4 linked regions of the Sus scrofa genome follow. The protein of the gene in region 1 interacts with the protein of each later gene in a biochemical or structural test. Links are inferred from orthologs where the notes say so. Each region holds a gene or a part of one and is shown in the gene's direction. Other genes may lie near its edges.

Region 1 (5,619 bases):
TCTCTGCAGGATGATATGGCCTTGCTGGTTTGTTTCACAAACCTCCTTGTCCCAACATACTTCAGACTTCCTATTGATTGGACCATGGGTGGCTAACTAACCTAAGAGTAGTCAGTCCATACTTTGCTCACTAGCTGAAAATTATAGCCTGGAGTAAAAAGATGGATGTATCAATGAGATTCTTCCTTTTAGGGAAATAGATAGGGAGTACCAAAAGGCCTGGCCATTTAACAGCAGGAGCAGTTGCTGGAAGAGTGTCAAAAAATGGAGTAAGAGTGATAGGAGCTCATGCCACGTGCAAGAGAAGCTAAGAGGGAACTGGGAAAAGGAGGGTGGGCCAGAGTGCAGAGAAGCAAACCTCAAGAAAAAGGAAGTAAGAGAATAGCTAAACTCCAGAAAGATTTTAGTATTATGTTTATTTTGGGGGAAGGGGATGAGAGGCTTCTAAATCAAGTTTCAGATTCCATTACACATTTCCATCATTCTTTCACTATCCTATCTACCTAGGACTTTAAGTTACATGAGTGGATTTTTGTTCCTTGTTCTTTGTAAGCCTTTAAAGAAGCTATGGTAGCTACTGTTTGGGGCTTTCCTCCAACCCTGACATTGTAACACATTCTCATTCCTGGCCACAAAGAAGGAAGGTGGACATGTCCAGTAGACTTTTGGACATAAAAGGCTGAAATTTGGGTGAGAGTTTCATTGGAAAGAAAGATTTTAAGTCATTATCATATAGAAAAAAACAAGGAAATAATTTTTATAGAGCACTTTCAACATATTAGGTATTGTGGCATGTTATATGTATATCAGTTAATTTTTACAATAACATATCTAGAGATTTTGACATGAGGAAACTGAGGCTTAGAGAGTTTAATTGACTACACAACCACACAGTGGGTACGAATCAGAGCTGGGATCCCATTCCAGGAGAGGATCTGTCTACAAAGCCCTCCCTCCAGCCAAGCTTCGTGGGCTCCCACCCAGTTCATGGTAGAGATCAGAGACTGGAACTCCAGGCCACTCTGACTCTTGAGAAGGGGAGCTAGTGACAAAAAAGCCAAAGCCAGAGGAGTAAAAACCCCAACTACCCTAGTGCTCTGGTAGGCGGTAAGTATTTTAAAAAGCAAAAGGTAGCCAGCAATGAAATAGGTCAAAAACGTCATGGAGGAAAAGGAGCGAACTCGATTTGGGAAGTAGAAGCTCAAGTGCGACTCTGGTGAGAAGCGAGTTCTGCTGGTGCTGAAAGCAGAAGCCAAGTTTTATTGAGCACACACGTTCATAAGAATTGAGTGAGTGAGGAGCGCGAGGAGACTATGGGGACAGAGCAGGTACTACTGGTCTGTCAACGGAAAGGAAGGAGGATGAAACTCAGAATTGGGAGTTCCAAGAAGAAGCAAACATGGTGGGATTAGCATCAGATAGAAGGGGCGACTTTTGAAATAGGAATTAAGGAGGTAAGGTGTCTTAACTGGTATAAGTCTGTGCATATGTGAGAAATTGACGCAATTCAAGTATTTGAGAAGAGGGTAAAATCTGTAAACGTAAAAAAAAGCAAGATGAGCTACAGCACGTCAGAAATTCTTGTACATGTTTTTCAAGCTAATTTGTTATCCTCATTTTACAGAATGGGGACTCCACTTCAGTACCTTGCTCAAAATCCAACTGCAGAGACCTACTCAACCCGGGGTAGTTCTGAGATCAGCCTGCGGGTCTAGGTCATCTGTGAGCAACGCACCCCCGCCCCGGGCGGCGGCCAGGAAGAGCCGGAACTACACTTCCCAAAGTGCCCGGCGGGATGGGGCGGGGCGGGGCGGGGCGGACACAGCCTCCTTCCCAGAAGCAAAAGCGGAAACAAAAGAGTCTCACCGGCGTCCCCGCCCGCATACTGGCGCTGGGGCGCACTCGGAACGGGCAGCGGCTCCCGGAGCGAGCGAGAGAGCAGCAAGCCGGGACCCTCCCGGCTGAGCCAGCCGAATAGCCAGCGAACCGAGTCCGCAACGATCCCACGCCTCCGAGCCCCGAAGCCGTCCCCCACCGGCCAGTGTCCCCGCTGTCCTCCCTGACCCATGGCGCTGAAGCGGATTCAGAAAGTGAGTGCCGGGGCCCGGTCTGGGGCGGGGGCTTCAGCCCCCTGCCCACGCTGAGCCCGGCGGTGGTCTGAGAGTTGTGCCTGGAGGGAACGTGAAAGAAGGATGGGCCGGGGCGGGAACCAGGGGCCAGGGATGCTGGCGGGGCCAGCGGGCACCCGACAGGTGAGGTGGGAGCAGCGGCAGGTCCCGGGCGCTGGAGGTGCTGGGAGGCAGGGGGCCCGCCGTGCGCTCTCTCAGGACCTGCGCCCGGAGCCCCGGCCGGAGATCGTTTCGGTCTCCAGACCTTCCCGAAATCTGTGCTTCTCGGTCGCGCCTGAATTTTGTCCTATACCGGGCGAGTTTTGGCCCTTGTCATGCTGCTTTCTTCAAGCTGTTTCTTAAGCCGGTTCTCTTTTATGTTCTTGTCTCCCTGGACTCCCGGGGAGGGCAAGGAAGGTGTGGTGGGCCTGCAGCCTTCCTCCGCGGAGCCCTTGGATTTGTTCTTTCTCTCCTCTGAGGTTGGCTCTTGCTCAGATGCCCGAATGGGCTGGAAAAGCCTGTTTGGGGCCGAGAAGCCTCCTGCCCCTTCTATTTTGGTCCCTCTGCTGCTGCCACTTCAGGTCACATAGCTGTAGTGAAAACATAGTTGCTGATACACAGCAAGATGACCTCCTGGCTGTGATTCATGGCAAGTCAAGCCAAGCAGGTTTTTTTTACCCCTCATGATAAACTTAGGTGTAAAGTTTGAGACACAACAGAAACTGCCACAAATTTAATTGTTTGATGTTTTGACACATGGGTATAGAATGAGGAAGAAATGTGTACGTTCATTAAAGAAATGTTTGTCTATCCCAAACGCAGTGTAAGGTATTGTCTTCTCTTGCATAGTATCTATTGCTACTGTCTCTACATGAACATCTTACAAAATTGGGTTGGGGCATTTTCTTTCTGTTCACTTTTACTTCTTGTTAGGTGATTTGGTCTGTTCACTGACACAAGTTTTAGGTTTTATTGGTATGTTTCATGTGGAGAACATTGAGAATTTGTTATTTTAATGGGAGTTAGGTTCAGCAAGTTAAGCCAACAATGGACAGTATGTTTTGTAAAGGATTTCAGAAGAAATCCTACCGAAAAAATTTATCAACCTTTTCAGGCATGAATCAAAAGAACAGTGATAGAGATGTTTTCTTAGTCACCATTGGTGGCATCTTCTGGTACAGAGGACAGCAACTTTCTAGAACCAGCCAATTTTGGGGGGGGAGAGTCAAATACTAAATCTGTGGAATATTGTTAATTTTTGTACTTTTTAAAGTTCCTCTCGCTATAAAGCCCATAGCTAATGATCAGCATTTATTGATTAGTATGTTTTCTGGTTTGAAGATAATGCAGTTACACATTTTTTTTTAATAGATAATTCTAATCTGAAGCCTCACTCAGCATCTTTGCCATGCCTTGTGTACTTATTAATGATGATGTAATATTGGCTCTCATTTGAAGTAAACCACACACATTTTTCCAAGTAAGTCTTAAAAATTACATTTTCTTCTTCTCTAGTTGTGAGAATTTTTTACAAAGCTTTACACATATAATAGCTTTTAAGTAGTGTAGAATTTGTCCACAGTAGACAAAGGAAATTGTCATTATTTGTAAATATACTGGGCAACTATCAATCACCATGCTGAGCCAGTATATTTGATTTGTATTTATAATATGGCATATACCCAAATCATATTTTCAGCTCTTAGTTTGTAACAGAGTTGTCTGGTTAAGAAAATATTCTTACGTAGAATTGATGTCAGATCTGTAACAAATTGATAGTTTGGGGAGGAGATTTGGGGTCACATAACATCCCATCTCTATGTGTCAGTCTTTGGCTTTCCTTCTCTGTTGTCAGAAAAGTTGACTTGCATAAATCTCTCTTCCATGTTCAAACAATTCCCTCAAACTTTAGAAGGTATTTGTTTTGATTCCCCACTTTTCCTCTTGCCTTACCTACCCCCTTGATTAAAAAAGAATTCCAGAGAATGTGTGCTGTTTGCCATATGAACACTTACAAAGCCCTATTTGATAGCATCATTATACAGATTCTCTTTGAATTTTGCATGCTTCAACAAAAGAAAATGCATAGTAATGTTTGGCCTTTCTTTTTAAGTGTATTAAAGGAATACTGTCAGTTGCCTTCCAGGTCCTCTGGGTTGTTATTTTCCTGTACCTGCAGTGGCAGCCTATAGAACTGCAGAACCTCAAAGAACTCTGCAGTAGCAGAGTGGAGTGGAGAGAAGGGGAACAGCTTCTAGGGTAGTGTATCAGAATCACCTCTGAGAGATGTATTGCAGGCTGTCCCCACTGCTGTCCATGACTGCTGTCAGTTGTAGAATCCCTCAGATGGGCTGGGGTGGAAAGAAGGCTGAGAACCACTGACATTCTAGTCTAGTCTCCTTGTTAGTCAGAGGAGTCTGAGGTTTGGAGTGGAGTGCTTTGTCCAAGTTAATCTCTTAAGAAGTGATTTGGCATATTTGAGAATGTTAAAAAGTTCATGATTTCACATTTCTTCACTTCATATGAAAAGATTAAGGATGGTTGAATTAAAATTGTATGAATATACAAAGCATGTGGAGATGAGTGCTTAAAATATATTTTTATGCTAGAGTACGGTAAATGATTTAATACTCTAATTTAGACATCCAGTGCCAGTTTTTACATTTCAGCTCATAAATTTACACACTCATGCCCTATTTTTAGATACAGTGGAAGATGTTATCATAGTCACCTAAATCACTAAAGGGAAGAAATTTGAGCAAAGTCTAAGGAAAGATAACTAAGGCATGTCTGAAAAAAGAGGGCAGTTTTCAGCTGGGCATTTGCTATTTTCTAGAATTAGTTTTGAATGTTTCTTCTGTTAATACTGTTTTCAAGCCTTGGTAAATTTTTTGGAAATCATTTTTTATTTATTTATTATTATTTTTTTTTTATTTTTTTGTCTTTTTGCCATTTCTTGGGCCGCTCCTGCGGCATATGGAGGTTCCCAGGCTAGGGGTCGAATTGGAGCTGTAGCTGCCAGCCTACGCCAGAGCCACAGCAACGCAGGATCCAAGCCGCGTCTGTGACCTACACCACCGCTCACGGCAATGCCGGAAGCTTGACCCACTGAGCAAGGGCAGGGACCGAACCCGCAACCTCATGGTTCCTAGTCGGATTCGTTAACCACTGCGCCACGACGGGAACTCCGAAAATCATTTTTTAAATTACAGATGTTATATCACAATACTGAATGTTTTGAAAACTGGAAAGTTAAAAAAAAAAAAAGGAAATTTAACACAATCGTCATCGTCTGAGTGTATTTATATTTCCCTCTAGATTTTATTTGATAAAGAAATTGAAGTACTAATCACAATACTAAATGATGTGATCTATCTTGAAAAATTAAACAAAAGAGTTTTGTTTTACAAATATAGCAACACAGATGGCTATTCCTTAGTGTATAGTTTTGTCCCCCAAATGGAATATTTAATAGTCAATTTAACTTAAAACGTATTTGTAAATTAAAATA
Region 2 (4,506 bases), on another chromosome or scaffold:
TATTAAATAAGTCAGCGACTGAATGAGTGATGGGAGCCATTCTCTACACGTGTCTTGAGTGCGTTAACTCATGGAGGCGGGGAATAATGGCTTCTTTTTCTCTTTAGCAGGACTTGGCCCTCTGGAGCATGTACACTAGGCTGTTCAGTCCTGGGCTGTGCTAGCAGCCCCTTCACAGGAAGAGCAATGGCTGCAGCCGCAGCCTCTCACCTGAACCTGGATGCCCTCCGGGAAGTGCTGGAATGCCCCATCTGCATGGAGTCCTTCACAGAGGAGCAGCTGCGGCCCAAGCTCCTGCACTGTGGCCATACCATCTGCCGCCAGTGCCTGGAGAAGCTGCTGGCCAGCAGCATCAACGGCGTGCGCTGTCCCTTTTGCAGTAAGATTACCCGCATAACCAGCCTGAGCCAGCTGACGGACAACCTGACCGTGCTGAAGATCATTGACACGGCTGGGCTCAGCGAGGCCGTGGGGCTGCTCATGTGCCGGGCCTGCGGGCGGCGGCTGCCCCGGCAGTTCTGCCGGAGCTGCAGCGTGGTGTTATGTGAGCCCTGCCGGGAGGCGGACCACCAGCCTCCCGGCCACTGCACGCTCCCTGTCAAAGAGGCCGCCGAGGAGCGGCGCCGGGACTTTGGAGAGAAGTTGGCCCGTCTACGGGAGCTCATGGGGGAGCTGCAGCGGCGGAAGGTGGCCTTGGAAGGTGTCTCCAAGGACCTGCAGGCACGGTATAAAGCCGTTCTCCAGGAGTACGGGCACGAGGAGCGCCGGGTCCAGGAGGAGCTGGCTCGCTCTCGGAAGTTCTTCACAGGCTCTTTGGCTGAGGTTGAAAAGTCCAACAGTCAAGTGGTGGAGGAGCAGAGTTACCTGCTCAACATCGCAGAGGTGCAGGCTGTGTCCCGCTGTGACTACTTCCTGGCCAAGATCAAGCAGGCGGATGTGGCGCTCCTGGAAGAGACGGCGGAGGAGGAGGAGCCCGAGCTCACCGCCAGCCTGCCCCACGAGCTGACCCTGCAGGACGTGGAGCTCCTCAAGGTCGGCCACGTGGGCCCCCTCCAAATCGGGCAGGCGGTTAAGAAGCCCCGGACAGTCAACATGGAAGACTCCTGGGCCATGGAGGCTGCGGCTTCTGCTGCCTCTACTTCTGTGACATTTAGAGAGATGGACATGAGCCCCGAGGAAGTTGCCAGCCCGAGGGCCTCGCCTGCTAAGCAGCGGGGAGCCGAGACAGCCGCCAGCATCCAGCAGTGCCTCTTTCTCAAGAAGATGGGGGCCAAAGGCAGCACTCCAGGCATGTTCAACCTTCCGGTCAGCCTCTACGTGACTGGTCAAGGCGAGGTGCTGGTCGCTGACCGAGGCAACTACCGTATACAAGTCTTTACCCGCAAAGGCTTCTTGAAGGAGATCCGCCGCAGCCCCAGCGGCATCGATAGCTTTGTGCTGAGCTTCCTTGGGGCTGATCTGCCCAATCTCACTCCTCTCTCAGTGGCCATGAACTGCCACGGGCTGATCGGTGTGACTGACAGCTATGACAACTCCCTCAAGGTGTACACCTTGGATGGCCACTGCGTGGCCTGTCACAGGAGCCAGTTGAGCAAGCCCTGGGGCATCACAGCCCTTCCATCCGGCCAGTTCGTGGTAACTGATGTGGAGGGTGGAAAGCTCTGGTGCTTCACTGTTGACCGAGGAGCAGGGGTGGTCAAGTACAGCTGCCTGTGCAGTGCCGTTCGGCCCAAGTTTGTGACCTGCGACACCGAGGGCACCGTCTACTTCACCCAGGGCTTGGGCCTTAATCTGGAGAATCGGCAGAATGAGCACCACCTGGAGGGCGGCTTCTCCATTGGCTCTGTGGGCCCCGACGGGCAGCTGGGTCGCCAGATCAGCCACTTCTTCTCAGAGAACGAGGATTTCCGCTGTATCGCCGGCATGTGTGTGGATGCGCGTGGGGATCTCATCGTGGCTGACAGCAGTCGCAAGGAGATTCTCCACTTCCCCAAGGGGGGCGGCTATAGTGTCCTTATCCGAGAGGGGCTCACCTGTCCAGTGGGCATCGCCCTCACTCCTAAGGGGCAGCTGCTGGTCTTGGACTGTTGGGATCATTGCATCAAGATTTACAGCTACCATCTGAGAAGATATTCTACCCCTTAGGGGGCTGAGTGATAGCAGTTTCTTGTGCTCCTCAGCCATCTTCCCTTCCCTCATTCCTTGGTGGTTGGTGGTACTGTAGCGTAGACTTGGCCTGTGTCCTGATTCCAGCTGGCTAGTCCTAGAAGTTTAGAAGCTCTGTCTCTTTTAGTGTGTTTGTTTGTTTTAATTTGCATTATCTCCTCCCTAAGTTTAGAGCTTTAACAGATGCACTGCCCTAAATAGGACACGATATGAGGTTAGCCGATGTTTGAGTAGAACCTAGACACTTCCAGGGCTTCAGTAGCCTTTTGCCCCTGTATTTGAAATTTGCCCTTGTATTGAATCCTTGTTGATTTTTCTCTCTTTTGGCTTTGACCACTCTGGTCCATTATTTCCTCCCTTATTGATATACACTCCATCTGTGACTTTCTCTTCAGCTCTGCTGCATTTAGCATGCATGCTCCAGTGGGACCTGCTGCACCTTTCAGTGACACTTCAGACATCCTATCCCTGTGGCATGATGTCTCGGGTCAGAGCACCTTTCACTTAGTGCCACCAAGGGAGACATACAGTCCCTCTGGGAAGCAGGGCCTCTCAGCTCTGGGGGGGTCTGTGCTATCTTGGATTGGTCTCCAGTTGTGGCAGTGACAGAGGATGGATTGACCCTTGTTGGCTGGTATTGAAGGCCTTAGCCTGGAAATTGCTAGCCTTTCAAAGGAGCATATGGATTGGAATTAGGCCAAAGCATAGGAAAATGGGAATAAACAGAAATAAATGCTTTTATAGTGAAAAGACACTGTTGGGTAGTCTCTAGAGCTCATCGTTTTTCATACTACCTCTCTCCACTGACCTGTGCTAAGAGCTGTCTGTGGAATTGTACAACACAGGCTGGGGCCAACACAGTGCAGAGGGGGACACATCTCATTTTCATCATTAAAACTGTGGGGTCCTTATTCTGTATTTTCCTCAAGTGAGTGCATCATATTTGGTTTGGGGATTTATTTCCATTCCTCTATCAAGCATTAAATGATTGATAACTGTTTCTTCATCACTGGTGTTCGTGTCTTTTCATTAAATATGGGATTTGGGAGGTGGGGGTGGTATCTGCTGCTTTGTTTCCACACCTGACACTCCATCCTTTGAGGATGGTAAGAATCTACCTAGGTCACCATTCAGCCAAAAGTACCATTATGTCAAGTTAATCCAGATCCTACTCCCACATAACCTGTGTATGGAATCAGCCTCCAAGGTCTGCAGTCACCAGCACCCTGTTTTAAACTCAGCCTCCACCTGCTTTATCCTTATAATTACAGTTCAAAAGAGGAAGGAATTTGTGATTTCAGGAAGACCTGAAGTGGGTGAGGGAATTTGTGACAAGGTTCCTCAGGCTTTGGTGTTTAACAAGCAACATATCTTGCTCTTTGGGTGCAGGGCTGATGACAAGCCAAAGAACTATTACCTGGCTTTCACAGAGCAGATTCTACTAAGCCAAGCTTCTCAAAACTGCTTTTTGGTGGTGGTGGTGCTTTTTTGGCTTCTGTTGTGATAGCTGACAAAGCATAGGAAAGAAGCTAATTAAAATGATGTCAAACTAGTTTGTCTTGTGCTTTTCACCTGGAGAAAAGCCCCACGTTCTGATTATGAAATTGCATCCGATTTTCAAAGACTGTATAATTGAGAGGAAATTGATCCAATTAAGAATGCATCGCGAATTGACTCCACCAGTTATTAGAGCCACTTTATCTGTTGTAGCACCTGGCAGCAGGAGATCTATCTTTGCTGTCAGAGGGGGACTTGCTGAGGCAGTAATGGTGTTTGAGGCCTTTGGCACAGGGTTTGCAGCGGAGAAATGGTGCTGCAGGCTGGCTTAATATAAACAATGCCAGGACTCCTAACTGCCTGTGCTTTTGGAAGGAAGTGCTGTCGCTGTTGGCATTCGGCACTTAGACCTAACCCATCTCCAAACCACACTCATGCCTTGGTCCTCAAGTGTAGCAGGTATCTGTTGGCTCAGAATGGAAATAAATGTGGTCTGAACGTTTTTGTTCCCTTGATGTGAATAGTTTAGGTTGTGCTTAGTACAGTCAATTTTCAATTATCTACCATATTGACAACATTGCAGCGTGTAGCCCCAGGAAACTAATTTGCTCAATTACAGCACTTTTTTTTTTTTTTTGGTATTTTTTTAGTTGTTGTTTTCTCTTTTTAAGTGGCAATGCCATTATTCAGATAAAGTCTTACATGCAAGACTTTAAAATAGATCAAAAAGCAGCTGCTCTGGCTGAAGCAAGCTTGTGGGCCTGGAAAACAGGCTTTATCCCCTCGCCTAACCTATATGCAATTGCAAAATTCATGAATCTATGGAACACTTTCTAAAAACCA
Region 3 (5,071 bases), on another chromosome or scaffold:
GGTCTCGATGAGCTATTCTTTTTACATGTTGTTGGGATTGATTTGTTATTATTTTGTCATGGGTGCTTGTTCCCCTCCTTTCCTTCTGTTCCCCGAATGTCCTTGTTTGGGTTTGGGTATTATGGTTATTCTGGCCTCATGAGACAAATTGGGAAGTGTTTTCTGAGAGTTTGTAAAAGACTGATGTTATATCTTCCTTATGTTTGGTAGACTTTTCAAGTAAAAATATTTGCGTCCTCTCTGACCTATATGCTCTTTTTTGGTATATTTATTTGGTCTTATTCTTAAACCCCATAAATTAGATACTATAAATTAATGTATGTACAAACAATATTTTAAAATTACTTACTCGGTTACTAGTTTCATTGTGTTTCTGATTTTGTGTCTCAGACCTTCTAGTTTGTATTATTGAACTTTTCAAGTACATGGTATCAGTAATTTTAAAGAAATGGCTTATTGGTGATAATCTTTGTTTTCATTCACATGAAAAAATATTTTGCTCATGTTACTTCAGGATAGTTTTTTGGGATCTGAATTTTAGATTGGGGTTATTTTAACTTTTTAAGAATAACCAAAATTTACTCTGTTCTAGCTTCTCTCTTTGCTTTTGAGAAGTTTTTTGCCTTTTTTAAGTGTTTCTGTTGGATGAGGTATCTTTTCTCTTTGATTTTAAAATCTACCTGTTTTGGACAAAAACAGTTTTTCTTTAGGGTAGCTAGCTCATTGTGGATTTCTTTTTAATTATCCTTCTTGACAGAAATAATTTCTATGTCTCTGTCAATGTATGTTTTCAGTTTTGGAAAATTGTCAGCATCAACTCTTCAGATACATTCATTTTGGTTAATTCTTTCAGATTTATCTTTCAATTTACAAATTCTCTTTTTATTCTCCAATTCTAGTACTTGTTCTTTTGTAGGTATTTGTCCCCAAATTAGATTATCCTCTCCTTCTTCCTCTCTCTCTATTTTTTGCAGTTGAATCTGCTTGTCCTTCAATTTAATTCAAGAATTTCCTTCTTTCTCTTTCTACTCTGTTATATCTTGTTTACTGTCACCTCTCTGAGTGCAGTTTACTGTTTGGCTGTTTATCTCTTTGGAATTTGACTCTTTTTCTTGTGATCCAAGCACTTCTTTAAAATATAATTCTTATTGTCTACTCTTAGAAGGAGTTTACTTTAGATAAATGTTTTATCTGTGTTACTACTATTAAGTTACTTTTTAATTAATTCAATGAATATTTAGGTAGTAACTGAAATATTATTTGTTAATTAAGAAGCAACTTAATATTTCTTAATGCATCTTAATACATTTTCAGTTGTGGTATGATTATTGTTAACTTGTGTCATCTCAGGGTCTCATTATATTTCTTATTTCTTCATCTGTTAATGTGCCTCAAGCGTAATAGGTGATAACCAAGCAAAGTAGGTAATAACCATTTGTGGAAGAATTGGCATACCTTTTAGTTAGCATGGAGTTGGTATTATATATTTAGGATCATAGACTTTTGTTCTTTATATGATTTTTATGCCAATGTATTTCAGATTTGTTGTTGCTATCAATATATATATATATGTATGATTTATTCTATTCTAATGTATATGTCAAACTTAGTACATATTAATGGCCCCTTAACCTAATAATATTAAGTACCTATTCTGTACAGTCAAGTGCTGTTCCTCTTATTCAAAAGGTATAGGGCTGCAATATAAGGAGATGAAAAAGTAATTAGTTTTCTCTTGGTAATTGTTTTCTAACAATTACTAAAAATTAAAATTCTCAAAATCCTAAGTTTTAGAATGTCATAATGGATTCTATCTTCATTTAATTTCGAGAATTGAAAGAAGCTTCTTATATTATTCTTATAAAATTGGGCTGTTTTTCCTTTAAAATAAGAATTGGAAAATATGTCTAATCACTATTGAGTTTTTAACAATTTGTAATTATTTTAGTGTGAACTTTTCAAATTACCAAAAATATGCAAGCATTTGGATATTCTGTGATGAAAGACAGTATGAATTATTCTAAGTTACAAGTGTCTTTTCTTGTTATCACCTTAGACAAAGAAACAGCCCTGGTATAACAGCACATTAGCATCAAGACGAAAACGACTCACTGCTCATTTTGAAGACTTAGAGCAATGTTACTTTTCTACAAGGATGTCTCGTATCTCAGGTACACATTCAGGACTTCTTAAGATATCTCAATTCCTATTTCCATATCCATATCTAGCCTCTTATGCTGGATTTATGGAAAGTTCTATTCGTAAAGTAAAAGTGTGCATTTTTGACATTGTGGAAGTTTTTAGACATCTTGGAGAACATTGCTTTTCCATAACTCTTTATTCTTTATTTGGGAATTTTTAATCTTTATATGGCAAGCTGAGTAAACTTAAAAAACAAATCAGCCATGAAGAGGTAGCTAGCAAAAATAAGTTCAATTCAGTTGCCTCCTATTATTCAACATATGTTAAATTCTAAGTATTGTCCTCTGTGCCAAGAATAAAAAAAGAGGAAAGAACTGGTATTGTCAAGGAGTATTGTAAATTTAGTGGGGGAAAGCAACAGGTAAATAAATCTATGTGATATTACATGTTATATAAGTGTGCAGAGGGCCCTAAGGGAATAGAGAAGAATATCTGCTATTATAACAGGGAGTGAAAAAACCAGGCCAAGCTGTAGACAGTGAAATGTAAGAGAGTGATTATGATTACTGTAGGGATTTCAGAGAAGTTGTATTTAGTCAGGGCTAGTATAACCTTAAAAAAGATAATTGGAAGCATACTCAAAGTAGAGGAAATAACTTACAAAAAGATTTGTACGTGATAGCGTATAATATTTTTGTTGCTACAGAAAAGTAGTATATTTCTGTGCCCTTTTGTTCTCTAATCTTTAGCCTTTCTTGGTGTCTTTGCTCACAAAGGAGGTAGGGCCATTTATACCCATCCTCCAGGGTTTTTTTTTTTTTTTTTTTTTTTTTTTTGATGGACTGTAGATGATGCATATAAAATACAATGCTTAGTATAATTTAGATTCTCAATTAATTGATGTCATTCATAGTAGACCTGCTTAAAATGAGGATGACCAAAGGAAAAAGATGTCTGATATTTTTTATTAATTGTTAAAAATTTGGCCTTGGTTTTCTCTTTAATAGGCATGTTTGTATCATGATCTTCACATTGCTTGTCACTTTTGGACAAATTTGCCTCAGGATTGGAGGTGGAGGAAAAAACATATAGATTTGCATAGTATTTTTCCTGTGAAGACTAGGAAGAAGCCAAGCTGTCTCTAAGTGTGTTTGAAATTAATAGTCAGTGGCTTTCCTACAAATAGAAAGCTTCTTTGTATTGTCTGAGAATTAAACCCCTTCTTAAACTTCTCTAATGGTCTGTAGTCTATGGTAGGAAGCTGTTAAATTGAAAGTGGTCTGAGACCTACATTCTGACCGGCAGAAAGTCCACAGTAGCCCTTTCAGATGTTGTTTGTCAGTATGATGTTGAGATACAACCACAGGCGAATGGCAGACATTTTTTTAAAAAAGAGAACGAGGTGGGAGAGAGGTTGGAGTAGGCTATTGATTAATAATTTTTAAATAATGAGCATAATTAATGCTCTGGGAGAGTAAAGATTAAGTGTGAACCAATTTAATTTATTTTGGGGATATAGCTTTATAGGAAGGTAAAGTTAAAACCAGGAGGAAGATTAGATTTTTATTTTTGTAGACAAGGCTGTATTGTACTTAAAACATGTTATCTTTAGTTTTTAGTCATCTCAAACTTAATCAGATATGCACATTGACTACACTAATCATATTACTGAAGTTCCCCCTAGTGTCCTTGACTATAAGGATAAAATTTAAATTTTTACGTAATGGGGTACCTAAGAGTTTGTCCTTTTGTATGTATGTTTTCAAATGAGAATCCAGTCCCCATCCCCAACTTTAAGTTTTAGCTATTAAAATGAGAGACGGAGACTAATAAATTAATGCCTTGATCTCTTAATTGTAATTGAAAAAGAAGCTAAATTATAAAGCATTAGAAGAGAGAAAAGAGACAGTGAAAACGGTTTTACAAACTAATCTGTAATTAGAATAGGAGAGGTGATAGGCCAGCATGTGATGTATGGGTATTGATCATAAACCAACCAACCAAACAAAATCCTACCTTTTCACAACCAGATAAATAAAAGTTAATCCCTATACTTTCAGATACTGAAATAACTATTTTTAGTGTTTTTATAATTTCTTTTAGAAGTAGATGTTAAATGAGTGGGTATGATGGCAGAAGTTCAACTACCCTAGAAAAGGATTGTGATCTTGTAAAAAATAGACATTCTTAAATGCTTGTGAATTTTGTATACTTAGGAATTGATGTCAAAATGTAAAAGAATAGATTAACTAAAGCCATTTTTAAGTGGATATCTAAAGTAACTCTATTTTCAGTATTTATTAAGTAGATCACAGTAATAGGGTTGTATATCAAAAGAACCAATGAATTATTTTATCCAAACTACTTGGAAGTACAGTTGATATTTCCTCTCCCCCCCCACCCCAGTAACCTGTTTTTATTTATAATTTGAATTTCCAAAGAGTGATTTTTGTGGGCCAAGAGCTTTAGCTTAGTAACATGATATTGCATACTAATTGGGTTTGTTCCTTTTGCTCTTTCTAGAATCAAAACACTACAAAATAGAGTCTTTTTAAACGTAGGTTGTTAGATGACTGTTTGGGTCTTTAAAATGTAAAATATTAGGGGCAGATGCTTCCTGTTGTTACATAATTGGATTTGAAACACTTCAGAGTATTACGTGAATTATTCTCCAAATAATTGTTCTTCTTTTTAATAATTGATAGGTACATTTCTAAATGTCAACAATTCAAGATAACCAAATATCTTCTGATAAAATAAATTCTTTATTATGTATCATGTGGTATATATAATAAATAACTTTTGACTTACAATTCTTGTATCTTAATTTCTTTTTTTTTTTTTTTTTTTTGGTCTTTTTGCTATTTCTTTGGGCCGCTTCTGCGGCATATGGAGGTTCCCAGGCTAGGGGTCTAATCGGAGCTATAGC
Region 4 (4,569 bases), on another chromosome or scaffold:
ACCTATCCAGGGATTGAACTCATGTTCTCACGGATACTAACCGGGTTTGTTTCTGCTGAGCCACAGCACAAACTCCTGAGCAGGGCTTTTTGAGGCACTTTTGTCCGAGCCTAGGAGCCTGCCAGTTCCCAGGTAAGGGCCCCCACCCACCTGCAACAGAATATTCTCAGGCATATTGGTTTCACATGCACAATGGGGGCAGCATTAAGCAGCACAGAGCACCCGAACAGCTCAAGCCACAGTGGGAGCAGTTTCTGTGTGTTCTGGGCATCCTCTCGTGGCCATTCTTTCTCAGGGGCCACCTTGGGACCTCAGCCAGGCTGGGCTGTTTGCCCCTTTCCGCGCTCCCCGACCCCCACCGAGAATCCGGTCTTTTTAATGTTAGTTTTTTCTGCATCCGACTTTGTAAACGGCCCTTCCTTCCCCTGCTGGAGGTCCCACCCACGCTGGGTTTCTGCTTCCCCCACAAGCGCCCACACACACCTTTGCTTCCAAGCTGGTCCAAGACGTCTTTCGGGCCTTGGCCCAGAGGAATGGGGCGGAGAAGTGTCCTGTGGTCCTCAGGTGGCATCGCGTCACCCACAGGACTGACGTCTCCGTCATCATCCAGTGACTCCAGAACTTACTCTCTGTCTCTTTTCTCCTCAGGAGGTGAAGAGTGTCCTGGAAAGGTAAGGAGAGGCTTTCTTTGTTGGAGGAGAAGGTGGCAGGAAACATAGTCACCTGTGGGAAAGGTTTTCAGGTTTAAAAATGTGCCCTTGGAGGTCCCTTTGTGGCTCAGCAGAAACGAACCCAACTAGCATCCATGAGGATGCAGGTTCGATCCCTGGCCTCGCTCAGGGGGTTAAGGATCTGGCATTGCCATGAGCTGTGGTGTAGGTCGCAGATTAAGCTTGGATCCTGCAAGACTGTGGCTGTGGCTGGATTGTAGGCCGGCGGCTGCAGCTCCAATTTGACTCCTGGCCTGAGAGCTTCCGTATGCCATGAGTGCAGCCCTAAAAAGACCAAAAAAAAAGCACTGAGGTTTTCCCCATCCTTCTCCCTGTTCTCAAAGACCCAGTTCTCGCTGAAATAGTTTCTGGTCTCAGAAGGCTGATTAATGGACATCTCCGTTGCCGAGGTGCCCAGTCCTTGGAGTATAAAATCTTCACCAAGTGAGGTTCTGACCAGCAGGGAAGCTGTGAGTCTGCGGCCCGCTGGGGCTGCTTTAAAAAGAACCTGACCAGTTTCAAACCTCCCAGAACGGGCCCTGGGTAAGACCCGCAGCATGAGGTCCCTCAGGGAAGTGATGCAGCCTGTATCAGATGCCTTGAACGTAAAAATGGAACAGGATGTGCTTGGGTGGAAACTGCATCCTACCTCCCTTCGCCCTCCACCCCGAGGGACCCCAGCAGCACGGGAGGAGTTTGCACATTTGCATTGAATTACCAGTCATCCGCAGAGGTGATAATAGGGAGAGGGTTCCTTAGGAGTTGCAGAGGGGGTCTCTAACTCTTTTTCCCCCAGGAGTGAGTCTTGGAACCTGAAGGAGCTGAACATCGGCTTCCCAGACCTGAGCAGCTTGTGCTATGTGCCCGGGATTAAGAGGATGCTGAGGTCATATGCAGGTGAGGCCGGCACCAGCGGTGTGGGACTGGCCTGCCCAGGAGCAGAGGGGAGGACAGGGATGCCCAGTGCCTCCCAGGGTCGGGGAGAGATGGCAGGTGGGAGTAGGCGGGGCGGGGGTGGAGACAGGGGAGGTGGTTCCCCCAAAGGTCAGGGCAAGGGGCGGAGTTGGCCGGGGGTCACTTCCTCCTCATCCCCCACCCCGGACTCAGGGTTACTGACTCCCCCCGCTCTCCCAGCCTGACCACGGGCCTCTCTCTCCAGTGCACATCACTCTGGACCCACTGACGGCCAGTCCGTGGCTCGTCCTTTCAGAGAATCGGCGACAAGTGAGGCTTGGAGAGACCCGGCAGGAAGTGCCCGAAAACGAGGAGAGATTTGATACCTACCCCATGGTCCTGGGTGCCCAGCACTTCAACTCTGGGAAACATTACTGGGAGGTGGATGTGGCCGGCAAGGAGGCCTGGGACCTGGGTGTGTGTCGAGACTCCGTGAAGAGGAAGGGACATTTTTTGCTCAACCCCAGCAATGGCTTCTGGACCATCTGGCTGTGGAACAAACAAAAATATGAGGCTGGCACCTGCACCCAGACTCCCCTCTACCCTCAGGTGCCTCCGAGCCGCGTTGGGATCTTCCTGGACTACGATGCCAGCACCGTCTCCTTCTACAACATCAGTGACCACGGCTCCCTCATCTACAGCTTCTCAGAATGTGCTTCGCTGGACCCGTTCGGCCCTTCTTCAATCCTGGTTTCAATGACGGTGGAAGAAATGCACCCCCCCTGACCCTCTGTCCACTGAGGACGGGCTGGTAGGGATCCAGAGACTGTCGGTGGCAGCGCTTCTCTGTTAGCCCCCCTCTCAGCCAAGAGCCCTGCCTCATTTGCCCCTGGACGCCCAACCACCGTTACCTCTGCAGAGGTGTCAGGATATCAGCAAGCAAACGCTGGCAGAGAGGTCACGGGGGGTCTGTGTCAAATGACCTTCAACACCCAGATTCCTGCCCTCCGTTGCTTCATGAGCCCCTCCATAAGCCAGCCACTCGTATCTGGCCCCAAACTCATCTGGATCAACTGAAGCATGTTCTCCTCTCCATCTCCGGGCCTCTGCTCAGATCTCTCCTGTAGATCTTGCAAAGGGCTTCCTAAATAAATTGGGCCTCCGTCTGCCCCACCACTCTTGTCTCGTACACCTCTGGGATTAGCTTTCCGACATGGTCACGTCTCATCACGGATGGCTCCACGCTGCTACGGAAAAAGAGCCATTAGCAGCCATCCTTTTAAAATAAAGGCTGAGGAGTTCCCGCTGTAGCACAATGGGATTGGCGGCGTCTTGGGAGCGCTGGGACATGCAGGTTGGACCCCCGGCCCCGCACAGTGGGTTAAGGATCCGGCGTTGCAGCACCTGCAGCTCAGGTCGCAACTGCGTCTCAGATATGATCCCTGGTCCAGGAACTCCATGTGCCGAGGGGCAGCCAAAAGAAGAAAAAGATAAATTAAAAGATAAAAATGAAGTTTAAAAATTACAGAAAATAAAATAAAGGCTGAATTACGCACGCCTTAGATCACCCTGTTAAATACCCAGCTTGCTGGCTCCCCTACTCCCCTCACTACCTCCCAGCCGTATCTTCTCCTAAAAATACCTAACTCTCTGAGGATCTGTTCTTCCAGTTTTCCCAGAGCACAGAGGGCCTCCCTGCTGGTCCCCACCCCACGCTCCGCTCAGGGGGTGCTGCGGGTGGGCAGATGCAGTGGCTCGTGTTTTACTCCCAGTAGAGGCTGATGGCAAGGGCCAAACTTCCGTTCACAATTACCACAATCGAGCTAATTAATTCATCACCCCACACGTACTGTTTTTGTGTGTATAATGAGCACATTTAAGATCAACTCTTAGCAAATTGCAAGTATACAATATCATATTTTAAACTATAGTCCCCACGCTCTACTTTAGATCTCCAAACTAAAAGTGTGTTTGGAGATGTAGTGTAGAGATAACATCTCCCTGTTTCCCCTACTTCCATGCCCACTCTATTTCTATGAGTTCCAATTTTTTGGATTCTACATATAAGAGAAATCCCAGAGTATTTGTTTTTCTGTGCCTGGCTCATTTCACTTAGGATAATGTAAGGTTTATTCATGTTGTCACAAAAGGCAGGACTTCCTTCTTGTATGATTGAAAATACTCCATTGTATATTTTTTTTTCTGCCAGCTTTATTAAGATGTAACATTTTCTAAGTTTAAGGCATATAATGTAATGATTATATATATATATTACATATATATACTGCAAAAATGATTACCGCAATAAGATTAGTTAACTCTATCACCTCACATAGTTACATTTGTGCCAGTTTGTGGTGAAAACTTTTAAGATCTCTTGGAAGTTCCCGTCGTGGTTCAGCAGAAACGAATCTGATGAGCATCCATGAGAACACAGGTTTGATCCCTGCCCTCGCTCAGTGGTGTAAGTTGCAGACACAGCTCAGATCTGGCGTTGCTGTGACTGTGGTGTAGGCTGGCAGCTGTAGCGCTGATTCGACCCCTAGCCTGGGAACTTCCACCTGCCTCAGGTATAGCCCTAAAAAGTAAAAAAAAAAAAAAAAAAAAAAAATCTACTTTCTTAGTAACTTTCAAATACACAGTAAAGTATTAACTATAGTCGCCATGCTGTTTATTACCTTCTCATAACATATTCATCTTACAGCTGAAAGTTTGCACGCTGACCCCCCCAACCCGTTGCCCCACCCCCTGCCCCTCACCTTTGACAACCACCAATCTCACTCTTTCTATGAGTCCGGTTTTTCAGATTCCATATATAAATGAGATCAGGTGTTTGTCTTTAACTTATCTCAGTGTAATATCTTCAAGGTTATGTTATCCGTGTTATCACAAATGGCAAGATTTCCTGATAGGTAGATGATAGACAGATATAGAATACATTTTACTTTTCCATTCATCTACCAAT

What was found. The genes of interacting proteins can lie anywhere in the genome.
Region 2: the proteins of UBE2D1 (region 1) and TRIM32 form a complex in vitro, tested with the Homo sapiens proteins (4 studies listed by BioGRID). The link is inferred for Sus scrofa from reciprocal best matches to the Homo sapiens genes UBE2D1 and TRIM32.
Region 3: the proteins of UBE2D1 (region 1) and RFWD2 form a complex in vitro, tested with the Homo sapiens proteins (2 studies listed by BioGRID). The link is inferred for Sus scrofa from reciprocal best matches to the Homo sapiens genes UBE2D1 and COP1.
Region 4: the proteins of UBE2D1 (region 1) and TRIM21 form a complex in vitro, tested with the Homo sapiens proteins (3 studies listed by BioGRID). The link is inferred for Sus scrofa from reciprocal best matches to the Homo sapiens genes UBE2D1 and TRIM21.

Annotation. Positions count from the first base shown.
Region 1 is NC_010456.5:92,326,661-92,332,279, reverse strand, and holds the start of UBE2D1 (UB2D1), read left to right. Parts: upstream 1-2,066; coding exon 2,067-2,090; intron 2,091-5,619.
Region 2 is NC_010443.5:257,063,740-257,068,245, forward strand, and holds the end of TRIM32 (E3 ubiquitin-protein ligase TRIM32), read left to right. Parts: intron 1-107; coding exon 108-2,145; 3' UTR 2,146-3,172; downstream 3,173-4,506. UniProt on the Homo sapiens protein: E3 ubiquitin ligase that plays a role in various biological processes including neural stem cell differentiation, innate immunity, inflammatory resonse and autophagy.
Region 3 is NC_010451.4:118,015,935-118,021,005, reverse strand, and holds part of RFWD2 (E3 ubiquitin-protein ligase RFWD2), read left to right. Parts: intron 1-2,056; coding exon 2,057-2,171; intron 2,172-5,071. UniProt on the Homo sapiens protein: E3 ubiquitin-protein ligase that mediates ubiquitination and subsequent proteasomal degradation of target proteins.
Region 4 is NC_010451.4:5,787,394-5,791,962, forward strand, and holds the end of TRIM21 (E3 ubiquitin-protein ligase TRIM21), read left to right. Parts: intron 1-648; coding exon 649-671; intron 672-1,506; coding exon 1,507-1,607; intron 1,608-1,869; coding exon 1,870-2,390; coding exon of another isoform or gene 2,391-2,419; 3' UTR 2,420-3,235; downstream 3,236-4,569. UniProt on the Homo sapiens protein: E3 ubiquitin-protein ligase whose activity is dependent on E2 enzymes, UBE2D1, UBE2D2, UBE2E1 and UBE2E2.